4 linked regions of the Arabidopsis thaliana genome follow. The protein of the gene in region 4 binds, or shares a complex with, the protein of the main gene of each other region. Each region holds a gene or a part of one and is shown on either strand. Other genes may lie near its edges.

Region 1 (7,966 bases), 5.6 Mb from region 4:
ACAATCGCTAGCTCGTCTTTTCCCCATTTTCTTAGTCCATTGCTTAGACTCTTTAACACTTCTGTATCGATCTCTGTCACCCAGAGCGGCAAACAGCTCACCATTAGACTCACCAAACCGGAAATATATGTTCGCCAAGTTGCTGTTTCACATCCCACTGATATTTTCCCATCTAAGGCACTCGCGATGAACTCCAAGTGGCTTCCCAAGATTGCTTGGCGGCGGCGTTTGGATGCAGATGATCTTGAATCCACGCCCCAAGTAAGTGCTCCACATAGGACCACAAAGTAGGCAAGGGCATGACCTCTTAGCTCTGCAACTAGATCCGATGGTCCTTGTTCTCGGTCTGATTTGTCAGTTGATAGAAACCAAGATGGGATCGTTTCTTTGATGAGAACGTGGACCACACCTAAGCCACCGGTTAGCCATACCAACGAGGCACTCAGCGAAGCAGCAAGCTTCACTTGAGTCATTGCTGTTGCTAGAGAACTTTGGCCGTATCTTGATCCGTTCTTCACTGTCTTCAGCTTTTCCAGCTTCTCCTTTGAGAGCCTGTTCTGGGCTATATCCTCCACCGAATGTATCAGCAGAGAGAGAATCTCTTCCGATACGGAGACAGTATCTCTGAGAGCACGATACATACGGAGATAAAGAATCCCTGGTGCTACAGGAGAGATCCCTCCATAGAAATGAGAGCCGAATCCATGGCCAAGAAGAGCTCCAACGCCACCATCATTTGACATGGGGGCAGCATTCAAACCCAGAGTGGCACTGAAGCAGTTTCTGAGGAGCTGAATCACAGCGTCTTGGTTGTGAAGGAAGACGGTGCGAGAGGCAGAGAAAACAAGGAAGTCAAACCAACGTTTCGCCTTTTGGGTCCATAATGAAGCTACAATGGGCATGCAAGGCCAAGGGCAGCCTGCAGCCAAGCACTCCAGAGCTGGGCCAGCCAGGTTGAGAAACCGCTCTGAGGCTTTGTCAATTTTGTAAGTAATGGTTAGACTAACAAATGCGGCTAGAGGTAAAGGAAGCGTTGCCGGAGAACTCCCTCCTGCAATACCACAGCAAGAAGTCAACCATAAGTTCAAAAGACAACTTTAACTTTAACACATCAAATCAGGACAGGTAAAAAGCTTATTATAAAGAGAGGATGGTACAGACTACAGAGATGGTAAGCCAAACAAACAGACTGGCATTTTAAACACGTTGAATAGTTTTACCTGGAGCAAGGCTAGGGATATCGACGCCTGTTGTTGCAAGAATTTTCGTTATATATTCCTCAACAGTGGATAGATTTGTAGCTGGACTTGGCCAATCCACGCCGTTCATGAATACTGGCTTCCAAACACCTCTACTCACCTCAGCTGAGAAATAGCTTACTATCGTTGCTAATGATGCCGGGAGAAAATCTGCTAAGTCTTTCAGCCCTGAAAGAAAAACACTTGTTATTCTGTAAATAAATTCACTTTACTGTAAGAAATGCATCTGATATAACAACTGATCAACACAGTCAAACATCTCTCATTGGCATTCAGAGTTGCCAAAGGTCATATAGACGGATGTTATCGCACATGACAACACAATTAGGAATCTGATCCAGCAAAACAAAACAAACCTGTAGCTAACTGACGAGGCGAAAGCCTTCCATGAGTACAAGCGGTTAAAGCAGCATCGACAACATATGGAACGGCTTTGAGGATATCCCAAGCAGGAAACTCAGGTCTAATATTGCTATCTTCACTTGCAGCTCCTGATGAACTGCTTGTGCCCGAATTTACTGGATTTAAAGTCTGACTGCCTCTGACCTTTCCGAACGTCATGTTGAGAAGTGCTTCAACTGTCTGATGAACGGGAGATCCATGTGTAAGTCCAGATAATGTGGCTGCTATGCATCTTTGGTGCTGCCTATACCAGACTTTCAGCTTGGGGAACGAGTCCACAAACACGGGCTGGCAAGATGCTGCCCTTGCAACTTCTGAAAGTCTCTTTCTGTTTCGGTCTCTATCAAGGATCTCCGACGAAACAAGATAAGAATTACGCACTGAAAGAAGATGTTCAGGAGTGAGTTGGGAGCCAACTGTGGGAACATCTCCCACACCATGCTCAATAGGAGGATGATTGAATCTCCATAGCTTTAAAAGAAGAGTGAATGCATTTGAGAAAACAGAATATGCTGATATTGCTTCTCCAGAAGGAAGAGTCCATGATACACTCGGGGTGTAAGATCCAAACTCTTCACAAATTGGCATTAGTGAGCAAGCAAGTTGCGGAACCTAAAAAGTAGCCATCAAAATCGTACATTACATCTTTCAGCAAATTCACTATTAAGTCTAGTAAACTTGGAAGTACAATTTACATACCATGCCATGTAAAGAGAAAATTTGAATGCTGTCAACAGATCCTATCCCAACAATAACAACATTCAACATGCAGGCATAACCAATCAAATGATTTTCAGCCCTGGAATAATCTGCTGGAACGGGTGGGGATAGTAATCTTGTAAGATATTCAACAGTGTGTTCCTGTACATCGAAGAAAGATAGATAAATCAAACATGTCTGTTCAACCGAAAATTCTCACTGGTGGAGATTCTGATTAGTGGATTTAATGCCAACCTGTATGTTCCAACCCCGTGTGAGAGATGCCCCGCAAAGAACTGTAGCAGCAGATATCTTCTCGTCATCCGATCCTTTGACTGCAACCTCAAATAGTTTCTCGAGCTCTGCTAAGCTTCCATCAAATCCATGAGGTATTTCAGTTGCTTTACTCTCGGTAAATTAAAAAAAGAGCATTACCTGGCTAAGAAACAAAAAGGAATAACTGAAGAAGAAGCAGAACTTAAGTCAAACTAGAATGCAACCACTATTCTCATTGTGGCAATGGTTTCCTTAGGTTACGACTTTGAAACTCCGTAGCTTAATTTTGTATAGTAATTTTAAATTACCACTGACTGTATGATTTGGAGGGAAGACTATGTGGATGAAGTAGTGTGGAGCTAATAGAGCAAAAAGAAACAAAAAGAAGATAATAACTCATTCTACCTTGAAGCAGGAACTGAAACTAATGTATTCACCATTGCGGCATTTAGTGGAGCCCCTTTCACAAATGATGACCAGCAGGGTACTTCATTCGGCAGACTCTGAGGTATTTGGTTGATTCGGCCATTAACATAGCCAGGCCACGAATAAGCCGACATATCCAGTATGTTTCTTGCAATACAAGCCTCGACTATCAGGTGGCGCATGTTTCCAGCTACGGCATGTACATAAAGTATGTTAGGCACGAAAGAGGCCCATAAAATCAACAAATGAAGACAATCAAGCGACAATAATGAAGAATACGAAGACAAACAAATTGGTTTAACTTCAATTCAATAGAGCGAAATTTTATTAAACTTACAGCAGTTGACAGGCATGTCCTTCATGTTTATGACATCAAAACATGACTTTCCAACATTGCCACCAGACAAAAACAAGATTGCCTTTGTGGCAGCCTTGTTGGCAGCAGAAACAACGCATTTGGGAGGAGCCAGCAATCCAGGGAAATCACCGAGGACCTGCAAACTTGTAACAAGGTCATCTCGCAGCTTTTCCATGACAGATTCGTATTTCCCCTCTTCAATAAGGTTTGCGACCACAAGAGGCACAATACATAATGACATGCACAGCCTTGTGTCCAGTCGAGGAATAGGTCCCTCAATAGGATCCCTTTCCTAGTAATAAAGAAAAACGAGAAAATCAGAACAGCCATTAGATACGGAAAATCTAAACTTATCATGGATGACAGAGTAACAATCAAATAGTACAGCTTCAGTCAAGAGAAAGTGTGTAAGAAAGTCCTCTGAAACTGCAGGTAACAAAAGTCTTGGGAATTATAACCAAATAACAGAACCAATTACAAAAGCACACGGTGTAAGTAAAACTTGCAAGCAATAGCAATTGCACTTTTCTGGGTACCAAAGTAGTGGTGAAATCACAAACAGAAAGATCAGTAAGAGAGTAATCTAACCCTTTGAACAAGTCGGAGAGCTGCTATCCAAAGCCCCAAGAAAGTGTCATGCCAAGTGCTCCCATTAATTTCTTTAAGTGTTTTAGCTAGACCTGAAAATTTAATACTCCCAAGTCATTTCGTTATATATTTGAGATATCTTTTCTTTGGTCAAAGCCACAAGTGAAAGAAGATGGAGTCTACAAATTACCGGTAATGATTTCAATCGCACTAGTTGGGTTTACTTGATATCCATCCATTGCATCTTCAAATACTAGATCAAGAGGAAGCCAAAGTGAAGAGAGACTTGCTCCATGGCATAAGCCAGCATAGGAAGAGAGAGATCCAAAATCCACAATTGCATTGGATTTCCGTGCTGAAGTTACTTTGCTATCATAAGAATACCCAAATCGTCTATTCGAAATCAATTGTAATAGATCCCCAGAATTTAGAACCTTTGAGTGTTTTAAAGCCGATGAATTTTCTCCAAGAAGCTGCACTTTCTGGACAAATTCATGCCACTTCGAAGCCCTGAAAAGAAATGGATAGCAAATGGATTAAAAGAAAAACACTTTACTACAGAGACATTACTTGTCAAATTCAGGTCATGATTAAGCAAAATATCTGCCAATGCAAAGAACAACATAACTATGATGCCACTGAAAAAACTTTACTCTCGTTAACTATGATGCATACCTGTTGGAAGATACCAAGTATAGCAATCTCGCAATCACTGTATTTCTGAGGAATTCCGCTATCAACTCAATAGCCATGATGGTATTCAAACTCTGTAACTTCTCTAGTGATCCAGTCTTTTCATTATATCTCTCAGGAGCATCAATTTCCATATCTTGAGACTTAACTAGCCACTGGGAGCTCGAGTCTTGGCTTAGCTCTAGCAAACCTTCATCACTTAACGCTGCATCTAGCAATTGTGACACCATCTTAAAAACAAACTCTACTAAAAGCACACCAGGTTTGCTTGTGTCCAGATCAAATAACTCTGAAAGACGAAGAATATTGGATACTGAAATCATGACCCTGTACAAAGAAGAAGGAAGATAAATACCAAGTAAGCCAAAACAGTATTTTGTATTCTCTAATTCTACTTCTGAGTACAATGTTAATGGAAACATACATTTACTAACATTTTTCCTACAGAGCCAAGCATTTGAATGAAACAGTAAGTAAGAAGTATCAACAAAAAAAAACTCACTTCTGGTAGTGAGGTCCACTAATATGATCTTTAATGGTGAACATATTTCTCTTGAGCAGCTCCAAGTAAATTCTATAAGCTGCTTGTTGCGTAGACCGGGTTGGAACAACTCTGCAACAATCAGAAAACATAGAACTACAATAAGATAAAACCAAATCTAAGATCCATCACAAAATCGTAGAGATTTTCCAAACTATAATTCACCAACTCACAATCCAAATTACGAAATAAATCATCAACACATAGAACCCTAAGGAAACAATCCATGAGCGATGAATCCAGACCTGTCAGCGAGAAGAGCAAGAACAACGAGAGGAGAAACAAGCTTCAAAGCCATAGCTCTTTCAAGAAACTTCCAAACAATAGGAACGTTATTATCCCAACAAATGTACGAAACAATAACCTCCGCAAGCTCCGTCGACGGTAACTCCACGGCGAAGAATTTCAAATTCGATGATAACTGAGAAGCCCAAAGACGAGGATCGACACAGTTCTCTTGAGCCATCTTTGTCAGCTCAATCACACAATCCCAGACGGTTCTCCGTCCAGGAACCACCATTTTTTCCGTTCAATCAACGAAGCTCTCTGAAGAAGAAGAAGAGCGGTTAAAAGATACAGGAACTCTTCAGATTTGATTTGGCGAAAAAAAAATAAACGCGTGTGCGTTTGTGTGTGCGTTTGCAAATGGCTGAATAGTCCTCGTGAGAGAGATGATTCAGTGCGTGTGAATTGTCCCGAGACGAAATATGAGAAAGACGTCAAAAGAGTTCACATTTCACAAATCTCTCCACTGTTTATGTCAACTTGTGTGTTATATTTCTTGAATTTATAAACAATTTTGGATTTTTTTTTATTTGAATTGAAATTTTTTAATTGATTTTAAAGTTAAAAGTACAAATTTCTTCTGATGGGTTCTACAAAATTTAGTTTATAATATATATATATATATATATATATATATATATATATATATATAGTTAATATGCATCTTTGTCAATAAAAGGCGTAAAGTAGATTTTTTAAATTAATCGGGAAAATTAAAAATTGGACAAATCTCCTAAATTTCCATTAAATTTCAACTTTTTTTTTTTTTTGTTATCCACTAAAAATTTTGCGAGTGACGAAAATGGTTAAAATCGTTGTGAGAAAATTCGAACTCTGCATAAAAAGACATTCATAAGAAATCTTTTAACTAGTGGACCATTACCATTTGGTTCTAAAAATGTATGTTAAGTGTTAACATAATTGTTGTAGACATTTTAAATGGCAAAATTATCTTACTTTCTTTTGTATTTCAAAAGTAATTTAAATTCAAAATAACTCCAGTTATTAAGAAAGAATCAAGGTGTATATATTTATTTTATGAATAATTGAAGTGAAAATTAAAAGTTATTGACCGGTGGGAGTTTATATTTTTTTTTTCTTTGAAAATCAATTTTGTTTTAAACAATAATAAGTTTAGATAGATGGTGGCAAGGGTGAGTTACAAAGCCATGATTTCGAAGTATGACTTTTGGAGGCAATTTTGCATGAAAGAGTAATGCAAGAAGAGCTTTTAGGTAATAATGCAAGATAATACCATTTTAGTCAAATTTTCCAGCTTTAGTCATGAGTCTAATTGATTAACATTACCATTTCTTGCCAGAAAAAAAAAAAAAAAAACATTACCACGTTCTATGGATCTTCTTATTTTCAACGCAGGGAGTAATCAGAAATTCTATACTGATAAAGATGGGTTAACAATATTTCTTCCAAGTTTTGTAATTTTTTGCATCCAATTTTAAATAAATAAATACAAATAACTTTCTTAAAAAAACTATCATTTTTAATAAATGAAAACTTAGAGAGAAAGAAGAGTTAAATTGGTAAATCGTAAAAATAATTTCTTTTTTTATGTAAAAATATATCCGTAAAAATTTAGCTAGTCATTTACGGACTGAACAGTTAAAAATATTTTATCCAACATCGTTGTAAATGGATGTAACAATAAGTAAAACATAAAATAATAACATAGAAAGAAAAAAATGTAGTGAAAATGCTCTAGAAGAAAAACCATGTTAAGTCTATAACCTAAATACAATTAAGAAATTAAATGCTAGTAATCTAGTTTTCCATGATATTAATATTGGACTGCACATAGTTGACAATTATAAGATTCATGTGGCGATTTATGAATTCTGATGGGATATTTGTCAAAGCTATATATTATGAAATTAAAGAGTTCGATAATTGGTCAAAGTGAAGTTGGTATCAAAGACATTTTTTTACTTTATCTGGAATCAGTAGCTTAGCTACACTTGAATACTGTATTAAATATTGGTCGTCCGAATAACAACAACAACGCATGGGGGAAAAAGTCAAAAAACTAGTTTAACATATTTTTGGTGAACAAAAAAAATAAAACAAGACATATTTTGGCTACAATCCGAAATTTCTTGGTAAAAAAGTACTTTATTTTTGGTACAACTTTCTTTAGATTGAAGCAAAACATAACATTGACGTTTCAGTTGATTTTTTTTTTTTTTTTGATAAATAAAATTCACAACTTGAAGAGATTGGTAGATAGACGATTCAATATTCAATGTTTTCTGATGATACCATTACCATATGCATATTCAGAATTTTTTTAAAAGGTGTATATATTTATTTTTGATATTGCAAGATTAAAAATAGAAAGAAAGTACAAAAGATGCGGAACCTACGAAGTTGGTGAATTGAAGAACACGATTAATGATGGATGACCCACATGAATCCAGCTTTTAT
Region 2 (3,487 bases), on a different chromosome or scaffold from region 4:
CGTAAAGCCCCTTCAATGGCCGGAGTTCAATGGAATTGATGTAAACTTTTTAGTTACTAGTAAAGGTGAAGCTGTATTCTGCCCAAATCACTATGATCCACAAGTTCCTTTTTACCTTTATTACTACAATCTCGAGGAGAACATTGTGGTAAGAGTAAGAGTTGAAGTTCCAGAATCTCAAGGTTCTAAACGGGTTTTGTTTCATGCTGTTCCAAACTATCTAGAGAATATGAAGCTTACGTGAGTGTTTTATTGGGTTTTTTTTTTACCTGTTTAAGACTATTATCATGATTTCAAAATAGTGAGTAGGGATAGATTAGAAGTCGGTGTTTTTATTTCTTTTTAAAAGACTAATAGATGTGGCTTCAATGGTGTTTTGTTTTATATTTGGAGGATCATTGTGGAATAATGGTTGAATTTTCCATGGTCGCTACAATGCTTTTTCTACTCTGTTCTGAATCTAAATCACAAAACCACTCACTATGTTCAACAACTACCTGGGCTTATATCGTTTTTGGGTTGAGCTTTCTGTTGCATGTCCCACATACAAAGATTTTGGTTTGGTTTGATGCAGACAAAACACATTATGCATTGTGATCTATTTGTAATCCGAAGAATGAATTTTCTTGAAGAAAACCACATTCTCTTTATTATGTGAATCAAGATTGGTTTATTGATAACAATTATTGGTCTTAAGTAGCTAAACAGTTGCTGAATCAAAATATGAGAAACTAATGCTCCATTGTCACAATCTCTTCAATAGATTTCCTATACTCCACAATCAAATCCCTGACCAGAAGACATTTAACAACAAAAGAGTAAGAGCACGATCACAATCTGATCAGATAAAACATGATACTAACAATCTAGCTAACCTTCTCTGTTGAAGCAATTGCTCACTTTCTTCAACATTTCTCTTTTGGCCATCAACAGTCTATAAAACACAGAGAGAGAGAGAGATCCATAAGAAACAAAAGATTAAACAGAACCAATACAGAGATCCAAAATGTTACCATAGTTTTAGATCCTAGTGATCCTGAAATCGAATTCAGCAACTGTTGACACTTGTCGAAATGGCTATTCAATTCATTCACCTGCAAATCCCACAATTTCAACATCATCCAATAAGAAACCCTAGAAATCTCAAAACCACTTTAAAAGACTTGATTTTTAACAAACCAGGGCGTCAGAATTCTGATCTCGTGTTCCATTTTCGATCACATCAGCTAATTTCTCCACCATCTGCGTCATTAACACGAAATTAGAACCCCCAACGATTCCAATTTCATCAATTTTCTTTGTTTCTCTTACCGGATAGAGATGGAAATGAGAAGCTAAAGACTGATGCTGTTGAGGAGTCTGCACCGGAGTTTGAACCAACTGTTGTTGTTGCTGCGGTGTATGCATCATAGATTGAGGCGTGTGAACCATCGTCTGTTGCGGCGGAGGTGATTGTAACGACTGTGGCTGAAGAGGAGGAGATTGTAACAACCGTTGTTGTTGTTGGAATTGCTGTTGTTGGATGAAGTGTTGCTGTTGTTGGAATTGCTGATATTGTTGCATCTCTTGTTGTTGTTGTGGCTGGAATTGTTGTTGTTGCTGCTGCGTCTGTTGTTGTTGTTGAAGATGAAACTGTTGTTGTTGTTGTTGTTGTTGTTGTTGTTGTAATTGTTGTTGCTGGAGGAATAGTTGCTGGTCATGATTCGTCGGTGTACCGAAGTTACCTTGCGCCTGCACGTTTGGGATCATCGACCAATTACCTCCTCCTCCTGAGAATTGATCCATTTTTTCTCCTTCCGATCTCGCTAATTCTCCTTCTCGTCGCCGTCGTCGTCTATTAAAACTTAAAAGAACGAAGAAGAGACAAAAGTGGGAACTTAAACGATGTCGTGTTTTGACCAAAAAAAAAAAAAAATGATGTCGTGTCATGATAAAACGAAGTTGTTCTCAGTTAAGGTTTTGTTTGTAATTTACAATCGTAAAACGCCGTCGTTTCAGTATCAATCTCTTCTTCTTCTTCTTCCTCTCAAACCGAATGTTCTTCTTGGTCGGTCACAATCTGTTCTGCACGAGCACTGCACAATCACTTGGAGTCTGTGAATTTCACATCTGAAAGAAATACAAACTCCCATAGTTTTCAATTTTCACGATCTCCGAATTTCACGACTTTGATACTTGGTTTCTTTGCACATTCACGTAAGCTCCAATTCTTCCTTCTCTTCTTTTGGCAATTGATTCACATCGAATAGTGTTGCGTTGACGAGTTCTTCGTTACAGATATTGTGTATTATGGCTGTTAAAATTGAATTTGAATTGTTAGTATTAGCAAAGTAATACAAAGTTTGTTCCTTTAACTAATTTAACCAGCTTCTGTTCTCATGAACAAGTTTGTGCCTTAGATAAGTCAGATTTTTTACACTACTTGATGTACAGTAAATTTACTTGTCTTTCTCTTTAGGCGACGAAGATGAGGCTGTTGAAGGTTGCTACGTGTAACTTGAACCAATGGGCCATGGATTTCGAGAGCAACATGAAGAACATCAAGGCTTCGATCGCTGAGGCAAAGGCTGCTGGTGCTGTTATCAGGCTTGGACCCGAGCTCGAGGTCACTGGCTATGGTTGCGAGGATCACTTCTTGGAACTCGACACTGTCACTCATGCGTAAGCTTCTATTTTTAGTTTTCTATTTCGATGATGAATGGCATGAATGACTTGGTACTATCACTTTAGATGATGGAATTAATTTCTTTTTCTTCTGAATTTAGTTATCGGAATCATGTTTAACCGTTTCTTCTTATGTTCATGTGAATATCTTCTTTCAGGTGGGAGTGTTTGAAGGAATTGCTGCTTGGTGATTGGACGGATGATATTTTGTGCAGCATAGGAATGCCTGTGATTAAAGGAGCAGAGCGTTATAACTGCCAGGTTCTCTGTATGAACAGAAGAATCATCATGATTCGACCGAAAATGTGGCTCGCAAACGATGGAAACTATAGGGAGCTACGGTGGTTCACAGCTTGGAAGCAGAGAGAAGAGCTAGAGGAATTTCAGCTCCCCATTGAAATTTCAGAGGCTTTGGAGCAGAAATCAGTCCCTTTTGGTTATGGTTACATCCAGTTTATCGACACGTGAGTTTGGATAAATGCTTCCATTTCAACACTGTCAATGATTTTGTCTGCTTAACTGTATCAGTTATATTTCCTTATCAGGGCTGTTGCAGCTGAAGTCTGTGAGGAACTGTTTAGTCCACTTCCTCCTCATGCCGAGCTCGCATTGAATGGTGTTGAAGTATTTATGAATGCAAGTGGGAGTCATCACCAACTTAGGAAACTAGATATTCGTCTGAATGCTTTTATGGGGGCTACTCATGCTCGTGGTGGGGTGTATATGTACAGTAATCAACAAGGATGCGATGGTAGCCGCTTATACTACGGTATGTTTGACAACCCTTAAAATTATTGAAAGTATCATTTTTGAGTAAATCATA
Region 3 (7,788 bases), on a different chromosome or scaffold from region 4:
AAACATAAATCTTGAGAGAGACAGAGAAGAGTTTTGGATCTAAAATGAGAGAGAAAGGATAAAACTTTGACGTTTTTAAGTTGGAAGTTTTAAAGGGCAGAGAAAGAGGATTGGTGTCTAATCGAGGTCGGGCCGTCGCGTACCTAAAACCGAATCTTCTTGATGTTTAGATTTATTCGGATTTTACTTGGGAAAGGGTAGAATGGTAAATATAGGAATAGGCTGAGGTTTGTTTGATACAGGGAGAATATTCGGGGATATGTGGATTCCTTCCTTTCCATATTCTATCGAGCTGGCGATGATGTCAGCATTCTCATGACGTTGACGTTGAGATAAGAACGACGAGTCATTTTAGTCATTACTAACTCTTTCTTTTTTCTTCGGTTATTCTCTACCTATTTTAGAAATATACACATGAATTTTTTTGTAATAACAAACGAGTGAAGAAGAATATCCATAGAGATTGGAATCAAGATATGTAACCAGAAAATTTTAAACATTCATTAAATTTACAGTTTAGAATATATTATATGGTATCATATCATAAATTACATTTTTATCAGAAAAGAAAAAGATAAAGAAGTTTTTGGCAAAAGTGGAGGAATATTCCTCGAGAGTAGGGGAGAAACTAAGCTGGAAAAAAACATATTAAATTGGAAAAAATTGGGAAGGAGAGAATCTTTGGAAGAGTGACATTCACACATATCCAGATCCCCCCGTTTCCTCATGAATTGTTAAATTTTGGCCCTTCACGCTATCGAAGAGCCACCTGCCCCATATCACACCAACCTACTCGCCTCTTTTCACGCGCTTCATTGTGTGTTGTTGTGTTGTGATATATTCAAGCAATTCTCGTGAATACCTGACGATTCTAAATTGGTTGGCGACAAAAACACACACAAAAAAACACACACTATAAAACGGAATTAAGTGTCTAATTTTGAGTATGTATTCTTGAGAAAATTTCTCTAAATAGTTTGGAGATTGAGGTTTTTGTACTGTCTGCTACGGTTACCAAACTGTAGAAACTATTGTGTATCAATAATTAAATTTGGATTTTTAAGGACAATTGTAAAAGCTTATAACTAGGTGATGGATTGAGTTGTGGTAAAGTCAAATTGTTCGAGAGGTCGTAAACAGTGAGAAGCAATTTAAGGAAGATGATAATTATTCATTTGTGATGGTTTCTTTGAGTTATGGTCTTATGGATAATGTCCATGGATGTGAAGACCACCAACATTGTATTAGATAAAAAAAAACTACCACGTGAAAAGTAGTTGATTTTGGGTTCTCATGACTTCTCACAAACTCACGTTTCCATAGCATTGCATGGCAATTTACAATGTGTTGCCCCTCCCTTAGTACTACCAATACTACCATATGAACAACGATCGGGATCAGCAAAATCTATAGCTTTGTAGCCGTCTTCTATGACTCATCTCTTCCACAAAAAGTCATTGACATCAACTAGTCTAAGATGACTGACATACGAAATTGGATCCTATTTTCCACTAGGCCACTCTGAAAAGAAAAAAACACAGATAAAAAGGCCATGCGGCCCATGTCCAACTTTTGGACCAATCTTAAATGGCCTTCACAATGGTTATCATGGCCTTTATTTGATTCAAGTCTGGACTAACTACAACTATGTATACAAAATGTTTATCCACATAGCCCAAAATAAGATATCAAATTGGTTACTTTCATTTTTTTTTACGTGATCGACCTTAAGCTTGTTGTTAGTTTTGGCGTTCGATGAACCACCTCCAAACCAATTATATTCTTCACAAGATTCTCTGCATTTATCCCACAGATGGTAAACAATCTAATCAAATTAAATTCACTTCTTCACCAAAAAAAATAAAATTAAATTCATTGCCCAATTTACACAAATAAAAAGATAGTAACGACCAAGTCCTTTGTATATCCCATTTTCTATTCGGAGCATCCAAACCAAATTTTGTCAATCTAATTTATCTTCTCCTCTCCCGGAGAAGAAGGAAACTTACAATTTACAAAGAACGAGCTTCAATAAAAATTTCCAAAGAAATTACCGTCGGCGAATCGTTAGGCTCGAGAAGAATCACCAAATTCCAAGGGGAGAGAGACTGAATTTTCTTTTGATTCACGTAACAACAACGCTCAGAGACTATGTCGTCGGAGGTGAAACAGCTGATCGTCGTTGCTGAAGGCACCGCCGCTTTGGGTCCTTATTGGCAAACCATCGTCTCCGACTATCTCGAGAAAATCATCAGGTTTTTCTTTTTATGAACCTTGTATCTCTTTTAATCCTCGTTATTTGATTTTCATTCGGAGTTAGGGTTTAGCTGATACCGTTCGAATCAGGCTTTAATTTCAATTGGTTAGATCAAACCTTTGTTTATCCTCTGATTCCACAATGTTTTGTTGTTCGTTGTTAGTACTGTGTTTATGTATTTGATTGTTCTGTGTTTCATATTGAGCAATCACTTTACGTTACCTTATGGTTCCTACATTCTTTTTTTGTGTTAGGACATTGTTTTCGATACAACGCATTCATAAAGCAATGAATTTGTAGTTTCTCACTTCGATCACGTAAAATTGATATTAATATGTGATTACAGAGAATTTAGTATATAATTGCCTGTATAGTTTGTAACTAATCACATTGTTGGCTATTCTTAATATCCACTCAACATAGTATTGTATTTCAAAGTAGCGTTTTTGTATGTTAAAATTTCAATTACATAATCTGTCTATGCATTCTTTGCATTTGTCCAGGTCTTTCTGTGGCAGTGAGTTAAATGGAGAGGTACTATATCTGACTTATCCTCGTTTTTAAGTTTACTCAAGTTTTCATTCTTGAGCAAACAGTTAATCAATGTTTTTGACCAAACTCATATACATTCGTTATCTGTCAAATCATTGCGACACAAAAAATAACAGAGCAAATTGGTAGTTTGATGTGTCTGATCGAGTCTTTATATATTCACTAAACTTGCAGAGGAACCCTGTTTCTACTGTTGAGCTATCACTGGTGATCTTCAATTCTCATGGTTCATATTGTGGTACGTGTTGTGCTTCATCTTGTGATATCCAAATACAAATATTATTTGGGTGCTTTCTCATGGCCCTGGTTACATTAGCTTTTGTTTTAGTAATGTTGTTCTTATCTTTCATTCTTCTTAGCTTGCTTGGTACAACGGAGTGGCTGGACAAGGGATGTTGATATTTTCTTGCATTGGCTTTCTTCCATACAATTTGGTGGTGGTGGTTTCAATGAGGTTGCCACAGCTGAAGGGCTTGCCGAAGCATTGATGGTGGGAAACTTGATCTCTTTTCATCTGTGACACAACTATAAGACATATGTTTGGGCCACTTTCTTTCAAGCTACTTTTGACTAATTTACTTTCTCAATAAAATTAACTTTTTTCTTTCCATGGCTTCATTTTATGTGGTGGTGCTTCTGTCAGCGATTTTCTCGATCCTTAAACCTCACAATTTTCTCTGACTTCATGACACAGATGTTTTCTCCTCCTTCAGGCCAAGCTCAACCAAGTAACGATCTGAAAAGACACTGTATCCTAATCACAGCCAGCAATCCTCACATATTGCCAACACCTGTATATCGTCCACGATTGCAAAATGTGGAACGGAATGAGAATGGTGATGCGCAAGCTGAGAGTCGATTATCAGATGCTGAGACAGTGGCTTCATATTTTGCTAAGGTACTTTTTTTAACTGATTCCCCCAGGTATTACAACTAGCTATAATTACTCCTTTTAATGGGAAATTACTAACCTGCCATATTGGTGTGCAGTGTTCTGTTTCTTTGTCTGTTGTATGTCCAAAGCAGCTTCCAACAATTAGAGCACTATACAATGCGGTGAGACTGCGTGTCTATTTGCTATTCACTAGATGTACATCTATCAAAAGTCTTTCTTTTGTCAGACAGCTCTTTCAAAGGCTGTCTTTATTCTCAATGCTATAAACTGGTGTAATCTTTGTTTTATACTGTTTTAAATGCAGGGAAAGCCCAATCAACAAAGTGCGGACTTGTCAATTGACACGGCTAAGAACACATTCTATCTTGTCCTGATCTCGGAGAATTTTGTGGAGGCATGTGCTGCCTTAAGTCATTCTGCTACAAATTTGCCACAGACTCAGAGCCCTGTGAAAGTGGACAGGGCCACTGTTGCTCCATCTATTCCAGTCACTGGGCAACCTCCAGCTCCTGTGTCATCAGGTTCTTCTACTGACAACATCCATTTTTCTTAGTCCAACTATCTTGATTTTTCTTTGTGCTTCTTTGGATTCTATCCTGCTTCTCTATATGAAGATCTCTTTTTGTATGATTTTCAGCCAATGGACCTATTCAGAATCGGCAACCAGTTTCTGTTGGACCAGTTCCAACTGCTACTGTGAAAGTTGTAAGTCTATTTGATCTTTTTAGTCAGTTGGAGGAGTCAGCTCTATCTATTGGCAACCGACTCTTGTATGTTTTATAAGAATTATTTACTAGATATTAGCCGAAAATGAATTGTAAATTTATTCTCTGGTGCTTGATAAGACATTACAAATTTTTATGTGTTAATCAACTAGATTTAATGTTAAGTTCATATGAATATCCCATTTGTGAAATAATATTGTATACTCAATCAGCTTATTAGATAGCATATCTTCACATTAGTAGAAGCCTGTTAATCAGATTTTTGGAATGAAATTGCAGGAGCCTAGCACCGTAACTTCTATGGCACCAGTTCCTAGTTTTCCCCATATCCCGGCTGTAGCTCGGCCTGCTACACAAGCAATTCCTTCGATTCAAACATCTTCAGCATCACCAGTTTCTCAGGATATGGTCAGCAACGCCGAGAATGCACCAGATATTAAGCCTGTGGTGGTCAGTGGAATGACGCCACCATTGCGTACTGGTCCTCCTGGTGGAGCCAATGTAAATCTGCTTAATAATCTTTCTCAAGTCCGACAAGTCATGAGCTCTGCAGCTCTGGCAGGTGCAGCCTCATCGGTTGGGCAAAGTGCGGTTGCAATGCATATGTCAAATATGATATCAACAGGAATGGCTACATCTTTGCCTCCTTCACAAACTGTGTTTTCAACTGGACAGCAGGGAATTACTTCAATGGCTGGTTCGGGTGCACTAATGGGATCTGCACAAACGGGACAAAGCCCGGGTCCTAATAATGCCTTTAGTCCTCAAACAACGTCAAATGTCGCTTCAAACCTTGGTGTTTCACAACCAATGCAAGGGATGAACCAAGGAAGTCATTCTGGAGCAATGATGCAAGGTGGAATTTCCATGAACCAAAACATGATGAGTGGTCTTGGTCAAGGAAATGTCTCCTCTGGAACAGGTGGAATGATGCCTACTCCAGGAGTTGGCCAACAAGCGCAATCAGGAATACAACAACTTGGTGGCAGTAACAGCTCAGCTCCTAATATGCAGCTATCACAGCCATCATCGGGGGCTATGCAGACTTCACAATCCAAATATGTGAAAGTCTGGGAGGTAATGTCAGTTTATCTTGTCTAAAATAACGGTGATCTTGTGCTAACTTTTACTTACATTTTCAAATTCATGCAGGGAAATTTATCTGGGCAAAGGCAAGGGCAGCCTGTTCTTATCACCAGACTTGAGGTGTGTTTAGGGGCACTTACTATGCACTTTTCTTTCCCCTTTTCTGAATTTACTGGGATCACATGCTTAAGCACATCTTCCTCTGTAGAACTTTGTTGAATTGTTCCAAGTAGATATTAACTAACGTCTTTGTTTATATTTGACAGGGTTACCGAAGTGCTTCTGCCTCTGATTCGTAAGTTTATAACTAATTGAAATATGAAAACTGCTTCCTTACTAAACCTTGTCAGGAGAGCAGTCGACTCCTTAAGAAATGATTGTAGCTGCTAAACTAATTTTTGCTTTCTCTTTTTGTGCATCTCCCCAGGTTGGCAGCAAACTGGCCACCAACTATGCAGATTGTTCGTCTCATATCCCAGGACCATATGAATAACAAGTAATATCTTCGTGCTATATCCTTCCTTATTCCAAATGGCTCATGGGTGGATGTTGATTTCATGCCACTAAATATTTCACCTGACTTTGCATCAGGCAATATGTTGGCAAAGCTGACTTCCTTGTGTTTCGGGCCATGAGTCAACATGGGTTCTTAGGACAACTTCAGGATAAAAAGCTTGTGAGTATTGTTGATAATTTATGCCACTTGTCTCCTTTTCCTTATTGTTTCACTACAAATTTAATAACAAAATGATGAATGGTGTTTACTGGTTTATTAGATATTAGGATGAATTAGATGTTAAGAATGAAAATCTTTGAAAAAATATATGTACTTACATCTGTAAACATGTTCTCGGTGAATCTATCAATCTCTTGCTATGTTCACCATACACTTAACGATGCCTACGCTTGTATGTAGCCTTGTTTTGATTAGCCTAATCGTGTGCCATACTATTGTCATTTTCACGCTTAGCTTTTGTGGAGTTGTATATGATAACTTTGTCATCCTCCGTATTGCAGTGTGCAGTCATCCAGTTGCCATCACAGACGCTTCTTCTCTCTGTCTCTGACAAGGCTTGCCGCTTGATTGGAATGCTTTTCCCAGGGGTAAGGAAGTACTAAGTTTAAGGTGTCTATATATGTTTTGCTTCACATTAGTGACTCTTGAGGGTTGTTTTGTTTACTCCTAGGATATGGTTGTGTTTAAACCACAAATTCCAAATCAGCAACAGCAGCAGCAACAACAACTCCACCAGCAACAACAACAACAACAGCAGATCCAGCAGCAGCAGCAACAACAACAACACCTCCAACAGCAACAGATGCCACAACTCCAGCAACAACAACAACAACACCAGCAGCAACAGCAACAGCAGCATCAATTGTCACAGCTCCAACATCATCAGCAGCAACAACAACAACAGCAGCAACAACAGCAGCAGCATCAATTGACACAGCTTCAACACCATCATCAGCAGCAGCAGCAGGCGTCGCCGCTGAATCAGATGCAGCAGCAGACTTCGCCGCTCAATCAGATGCAGCAACAGACTTCGCCTCTGAATCAGATGCAGCAGCAACAGCAGCCTCAACAGATGGTAATGGGTGGTCAAGCTTTTGCACAAGCCCCTGGAAGATCACAACAAGGTGGTGGTGGAGGGCAGCCTAACATGCCTGGAGCTGGCTTCATGGGATAAATAAAAATATCAGCTTCAGTGCTAATTAATTAGATTTATCATAACTTAACATTCTTTCTTTCTTCTTTGGTCAACTCGATCGTCGCCATGGTTTTAGACTCTGTTTAGTTGTCCTTTCTGTTCTTTTGAGCCTGAAAATGGCATGTCCTATTCTGTATGGGTCTGACCATTTAGCTACGGCACCAAACTATTTTGTCATTTTCTTAAGATAAATAGAAAAAAAGTGGATGATTTCTATTTTGTTGGTGTTTCTATATGCTGATAATAACTTGTTATCTAGCTTTTTATTTGATTGACAAGGAAATAAAGGATCAAACCCATTTCATAGTTGGGTCATGATTGGACTTTGTGTTTTATTTGCAGGTAAGAAATATACATTTCTATTAGAAAAGGTTTATGGTTGATAGTTAAACAAACTTATCTAAATATACCATTTCCAACTGCATATTGCATCAGAGAATTACTTGCTCAAAATTACATCATTGACAAACTAGGATTTTTTAAATCTTTTAAGTTTAAATTATCATCATAAATCAAATTTCATTTTGAAAACCAAGAAAATAGAAACCCGTAAACCTTACA
Region 4 (4,646 bases):
TCTCCATTCATGGAGCTTTGAAATATGGCATCTTGATCCGATATGGGTGCAACCAGCGCCATTAGGACCAAATGAAGGTTTGAAGCCGGACGTTTCCACGGAAATGGAAGAGGGCCGAGAAAATAGTGAGTGTATATGGAGAATGCTTGGTGCTCTGGTCTTGGCTGCAGTATGTGGAGCCGTAGGGGCAATGTCAGCTATGTATCTTTGGACTATTTGCAGTGTTAGGCGGTCAATGGCCGTGGTTCCAGAGGAATGTGCAGTGAGCATTGTGGTCGTTGCAGTTAAAGATGGCAAGAAGTAATGAGAAGTTTGTTTGGCTTTGGCTTTGGTTTAAGAAGGTTGTCTTGTTGTAGTGTAAATGTAGTACCTTCTTCCACTTCCTCTGGTGTTATCTTTATTTAGTGTTTTCTTTTATTTGCTTCGTTAGTTGCAGGTTTCACATGTACAATCTCTATGAAAGAAGCCGTAAGCTTATTTGATCTTGCAAAATAACTTAATTTATTGATCTTGCATTTAACATGTTTTATATTTCTGGATCGGAAGCAAAAATCAACACCCACTGTCTTTTTCTCACTTTGATGCTGACTGCAACAGAGTAATGTGAACCGAGTTAAAAAAAAAGGTCTCTGTTCAGTCATCTCGTGAACAAAGATCAAATCTCTAGAAAGAAGACAACATTCACATGTTACCAGAGAGTAGAAAGAAAGAAAGTTAATCTAAACCTCAACATGGGACATCAACAACAAACAAGAGGTATATCAAGGAGAAGAGCAGATACTAAAGATCCATACAAAATGTTATTAGAACTTATTTCTAACCTTTCTTTTAATTGATCCTCCCTAATCACTAGAGTACTAGGTATCATCTTGAGAGCAACTGGAGTGGTAAGCTTCACAAACGTCCAGGTTTAATGCAAGAGGCAATTCTTGGTAAGCGCGGTGTAAAGGAGGTAAGATTAACGCAGACTTTTTATCCATTGCTAATAGCCTTCCACATTTACTGCATCATCAGAAGAGAAATGAAAAGTTAGTCCACGGGAAACAAATGTATTAGAAGAATTACGGAGAGTCTGCATACGTGCAAGGTTTGCTAAATACGGATTCAAAACTGCATATCCATAGCTGCATAAGAAGAAGAGAAAGGTGTTAATTAACTTCCAGACAAAAAAGGTTCATGTTATCCAGAGACTGAAGTGTGCTTGTAAAATGCTTTACCAGAAGAGAGTAGAGAGCTGTTCCAGTACCAAAGCCGAGGAAATATTGCAAGGCTGTAGCAGCATGTTCCTGCAAGAAAAATCTAATTAATGCAAGTCCCCAATGAATCAAATTTGTTAAACTATATATAATATCAATCGCATCTTTATTACCGTTATGTGTTTGTAAACATGATAAACCGAGAAGCCTCTCGCATGTAAGTAGCTGCCTCCCTGTAAGAAAGGGATGAAGCTAAAACATGAGAACTTAAACAATTTCACATGAGAATCAGTATATTTTAATGCAAGGAGGTTGGAAGTGACCTCATCTGGGGAGAAGAAAGCAACTGCATCTGGATCAACAGAACCCGCTGGACTCAACGAGACTATAGCTCTGAATAGAGAAGGAAATGATAACTCAATAACAGCAATCTTGTCGACAACTTCAGTCTGTAACCCTGATCTCAGCTTGCTAGAACTCTGGAAAATAGGTTTCGATGCTTCTGTAGGATCATCACTACCTGACCCAGGTAAAGAGTTAGCTCTTTTAAGCCAGTTCAATCGTCCATAAGTAGACACCTTCACACTCGGAACCAGCTTCTCTAAACGCGATTGTATATCTGGCAATGTTTTGTAATCAACCGGCTCCTCTCTTCCATTTTCTAATAGCAAATGGGAGGCACGATGTTTTTTTGAGCTTGGTTCCATCTTTAATCCATCATCAATATGAGGGAAGAATCGTCTTTTCTGATCCGTGAAGGCCTTGAGAGCTAACCTACAGTCATTATACACAACGCGAGAAAATGGAGAATGCATGAGATTCAGTAGAATTGGTTAGCTGATGAAACTCCAAGTTGGTACCACCAAGCTTCACTAACAGCCCTAATATGCAGACTCGAACCTAAACCCTAAGTATGCTTTAAAATGATTAGCAACGAATCTGATACCTGGTTCTATCAACAGCAGAAGCACCAGCTTGGCCAGCAAGCTGTCTTTTCCAAGCATAAGCAACGACTGCACCATCTGGACAAACCAAAGGCATGTGAAGACCCCAAGAGTTACTTCTTGACCTAAGTGATTCAGTTAACACTCCAGATTCTTCCAATTTCTTCCCTGAACCAAGCAATAAACATTGATCGATCCTTAAAAGCCCTAATCTAGAGAATCAATCAATACTAATGAAAATGATTCAGTTTTGGTTCAGCACCTATTAAGCGAAGATCCTGAAGATGTTGACGCATGGAGGCGTCTTCTCTGAGAAAGAGCTGAAGAGGCATGTCTGTGTGACGAGGTTGCGAAGCCACGAACATAGCTTCAAGGATACGGTCAGCGCCGAGGCGGATATCGGCGATAACCCTAGCCGCTTGATTGAGTCGTTCCATGGCCTGAGCCACCTGTTTCGGCGGCGCGTCCGATTCAGACTGATTGTTCGCCGCCTCGGCCGGATTCTGGAGAAGTTGGGACTGGTGTAGCGTCTGCATAAGCTGTGATTCAAGCACACTCTTTCGATTTCAATGAAATTGATCTTCTTGACGACGACGGAAGGAGAGGAATGTTTCTGGACTCGGAGAATTTCACGTTCAAATCTCAATCTACTGTAACGCCAGACGCAATTTTGTAGCGTTTGCGTTTCAAAGGCGTTTTTGTTGATATGCTTGCTTCTGCTCCTTCACGTCTTATTTTGTTTAATTTATTCCACTCTGTTAAATTGAGTTTTACTCCATTAAGCAATGCTTTATGGCTCATGTTGGACTGAAAATGTATTTTGTAATCTCAATGTTTGTGGGACTTTTAGTTTTTAGCCCATATGTACAGTTTGTTCACTTTAATATTTTTTTTTTTTTAGTTTGTACATGTAAAAAAATGGGAAATTTGCAAATATAGCCAACAAAAAAATTATAATTGCAAAACTAACACTTCAACCAATATGTATTGAACTTTATGCAATATTGACAAACTTAACCCGTGCGTGAGCACACGCGCTTATTCTTCTTCTTCTGAGTTTTCAATCGATAACTTCTATGTATTACTCTGTAAAAATTCAAATAGAGGTGAACATTCAGAGAAGTTACAGTAAGAAAATCTGAAAATTCTGGGCTTTAAAAAGCGACACCCGGGAAAGTTTCGAAGAGCAGACTGCGTGTGCAATCCGAGTGACGATTCTAGAGTTTACGAAGATTGAATTTGTGGGTTTCGATTTGGGGACTGTGGAGGCTTCGATTTCTGGCAATCGGACTGCATAAATCTTCTGCAATTGGAGGAGGAGCCTATCTAAGCATCCGAGTTTCGTACAACACTTATGTTGGCTCTTTTCTCAATCGAGGGTTTTTGATTCCGTTGAGAGTACTTGAGTGAGTTTTGTTGTACGGGAGTAGAGGTGTTTATATCTCCGTCGTCTCCACTGTAACACTCGAATTTCTGTGGCAATTGGTGTCGGCGAAGGGATTCAGCCAAATTAAGGTATGAAATGCCATTTTTTGGCTTTTGGGAAAATCTTTTTAATTTGTGTTGAAGAGCTTGAATAGCATAAACTCGGATTTGAGTAGCTTTAGGTAGGGAATCTGCTTGGTTAATACGATATTCATTTGTAATTGTTATGAAGGTTTAGGATTTAACTCTACTTCAATGTAATCCATTTGTGTTTGTTGATAGTAACGGAAGCTACTCAAATTGGTTGTATGTGTTAATGACATTTTTAGTTTTATTTGCAGTATTGAATAGCATAAACTCGGATTTGAGTAGCTTTAGTTAGTGAATCTTTGCTGGTTAATCCGATATTCCACTAATTGGTGTTATGAAGGTTTAATATTTAACTCAACTTCTATGTAATCCATTTGTTGTTGTTGATAGTAACGGAAAGCTGAGGCTATATTGGTTGAGTCTGTTAATAACATATATTTACATCTAAGATTTATATATTTTGTATTTGTGTAAGTAGCAGCATCAAAAAAGTGATACGTGGACATTTGTATTTCAGTGTATCTGTTCCATGGGGGATGTAGAGTTGCCAAAGCGTTTGTTTCGGCTAGGTTCTGAACCTGAGGGCCGAAAGAGGATAAACAATTACTTTACTCTTAGGTGGATTGAGATCATCAAGGCTGCTCTAGATCAAAACCATTTGAAGCAGCTGGAGGGTTCGCAGTTTGGATTTCTGTTGCAAATGGGGACGCATCAGTTTTCTGTAATGTTCTTACATTACATTCTATCTAGGCAGTTGGTGACAGATAAGAAGTATGAAATGTGGTGGGTGTTTGCAGGGAAGCCAATTCGATTTGCCATTGATGATTTTGCACTTGTTACCGGGCTTAACTGCAGCAAATCTGGATTCAACAAAAAGGATGCAAGGACAAGAGGGAAAATGAAAGCGGTTCAGAATCCTACGAGGTTCTACAAGGCATTATTTGGGAAAGAGAGAAAGCCTACTTCACAATGGATTGTTGGGAAGCTATCT

The links.
Region 1: AT3G09180 (region 4) and RFR1 share a complex: the UniProt entries of both Arabidopsis thaliana proteins name them as parts of the mediator complex.
Region 2: AT3G09180 (region 4) and MED9 share a complex: the UniProt entries of both Arabidopsis thaliana proteins name them as parts of the mediator complex.
Region 3: AT3G09180 (region 4) and PFT1 share a complex: the UniProt entries of both Arabidopsis thaliana proteins name them as parts of the mediator complex.

Annotation. Positions count from the first base shown.
Region 1 is NC_003074.8:8,465,434-8,473,399, reverse strand, and holds the start of RFR1 (REF4-related 1), read right to left. Parts: upstream 6,003-7,966; 5' UTR 5,763-6,002; coding exon 5,488-5,762; intron 5,315-5,487; coding exon 5,204-5,314; intron 5,029-5,203; coding exon 4,684-5,028; intron 4,519-4,683; coding exon 4,199-4,518; intron 4,101-4,198; coding exon 4,009-4,100; intron 3,713-4,008; coding exon 3,400-3,712; intron 3,253-3,399; coding exon 3,042-3,252; intron 2,731-3,041; coding exon 2,616-2,730; intron 2,523-2,615; coding exon 2,361-2,522; intron 2,274-2,360; coding exon 1,616-2,273; intron 1,428-1,615; coding exon 1,221-1,427; intron 1,052-1,220; coding exon 1-1,051. UniProt on the Arabidopsis thaliana protein: Component of the Mediator complex, a coactivator involved in the regulated transcription of nearly all RNA polymerase II-dependent genes.
Region 2 is NC_003070.9:20,552,390-20,555,876, forward strand, and holds MED9 (mediator of RNA polymerase II transcription subunit-like protein), read right to left. Parts: upstream 1,866-3,487; 5' UTR 1,786-1,865; coding exon 1,312-1,785; intron 1,243-1,311; coding exon 1,180-1,242; intron 1,095-1,179; coding exon 1,014-1,094; coding exon of another isoform or gene 935-1,013; coding exon 876-934; intron 790-875; coding exon 732-789; 3' UTR 516-731; downstream 1-515. Other genes in the region: AT1G55070 (F-box and associated interaction domains-containing protein), read left to right, coding at 1-244; AT1G55090 (carbon-nitrogen hydrolase family protein), read left to right, coding at 2,468-2,661, 2,823-3,128, 3,210-3,433. UniProt on the Arabidopsis thaliana protein: Component of the Mediator complex, a coactivator involved in the regulated transcription of nearly all RNA polymerase II-dependent genes.
Region 3 is NC_003070.9:8,968,810-8,976,597, reverse strand, and holds PFT1 (phytochrome and flowering time regulatory protein (PFT1)), read left to right. Parts: upstream 1-1,782; 5' UTR 1,783-2,151; coding exon 2,152-2,255; intron 2,256-2,760; coding exon 2,761-2,791; intron 2,792-2,983; coding exon 2,984-3,047; intron 3,048-3,168; coding exon 3,169-3,299; intron 3,300-3,503; coding exon 3,504-3,707; intron 3,708-3,799; coding exon 3,800-3,865; intron 3,866-4,008; coding exon 4,009-4,225; intron 4,226-4,341; coding exon 4,342-4,409; intron 4,410-4,708; coding exon 4,709-5,506; intron 5,507-5,581; coding exon 5,582-5,635; intron 5,636-5,781; coding exon 5,782-5,810; intron 5,811-5,942; coding exon 5,943-6,011; intron 6,012-6,106; coding exon 6,107-6,191; intron 6,192-6,532; coding exon 6,533-6,619; intron 6,620-6,702; coding exon 6,703-7,206; 3' UTR 7,207-7,533; downstream 7,534-7,788. UniProt on the Arabidopsis thaliana protein: Component of the Mediator complex, a coactivator involved in the regulated transcription of nearly all RNA polymerase II-dependent genes.
Region 4 is NC_003074.8:2,817,308-2,821,953, reverse strand, and holds AT3G09180 (mediator of RNA polymerase II transcription subunit), read right to left. Parts: upstream 2,861-4,646; 5' UTR 2,677-2,860; coding exon 2,403-2,676; intron 2,309-2,402; coding exon 2,143-2,308; intron 1,971-2,142; coding exon 1,520-1,970; intron 1,430-1,519; coding exon 1,370-1,429; intron 1,287-1,369; coding exon 1,218-1,286; intron 1,125-1,217; coding exon 1,081-1,124; coding exon of another isoform or gene 1,062-1,080; exon of another isoform or gene 1,003-1,061; coding exon 858-1,002; 3' UTR 529-857; downstream 1-528. Other genes in the region: AT3G09190 (Concanavalin A-like lectin family protein), read left to right, coding at 1-304. UniProt on the Arabidopsis thaliana protein: Component of the Mediator complex, a coactivator involved in the regulated transcription of nearly all RNA polymerase II-dependent genes.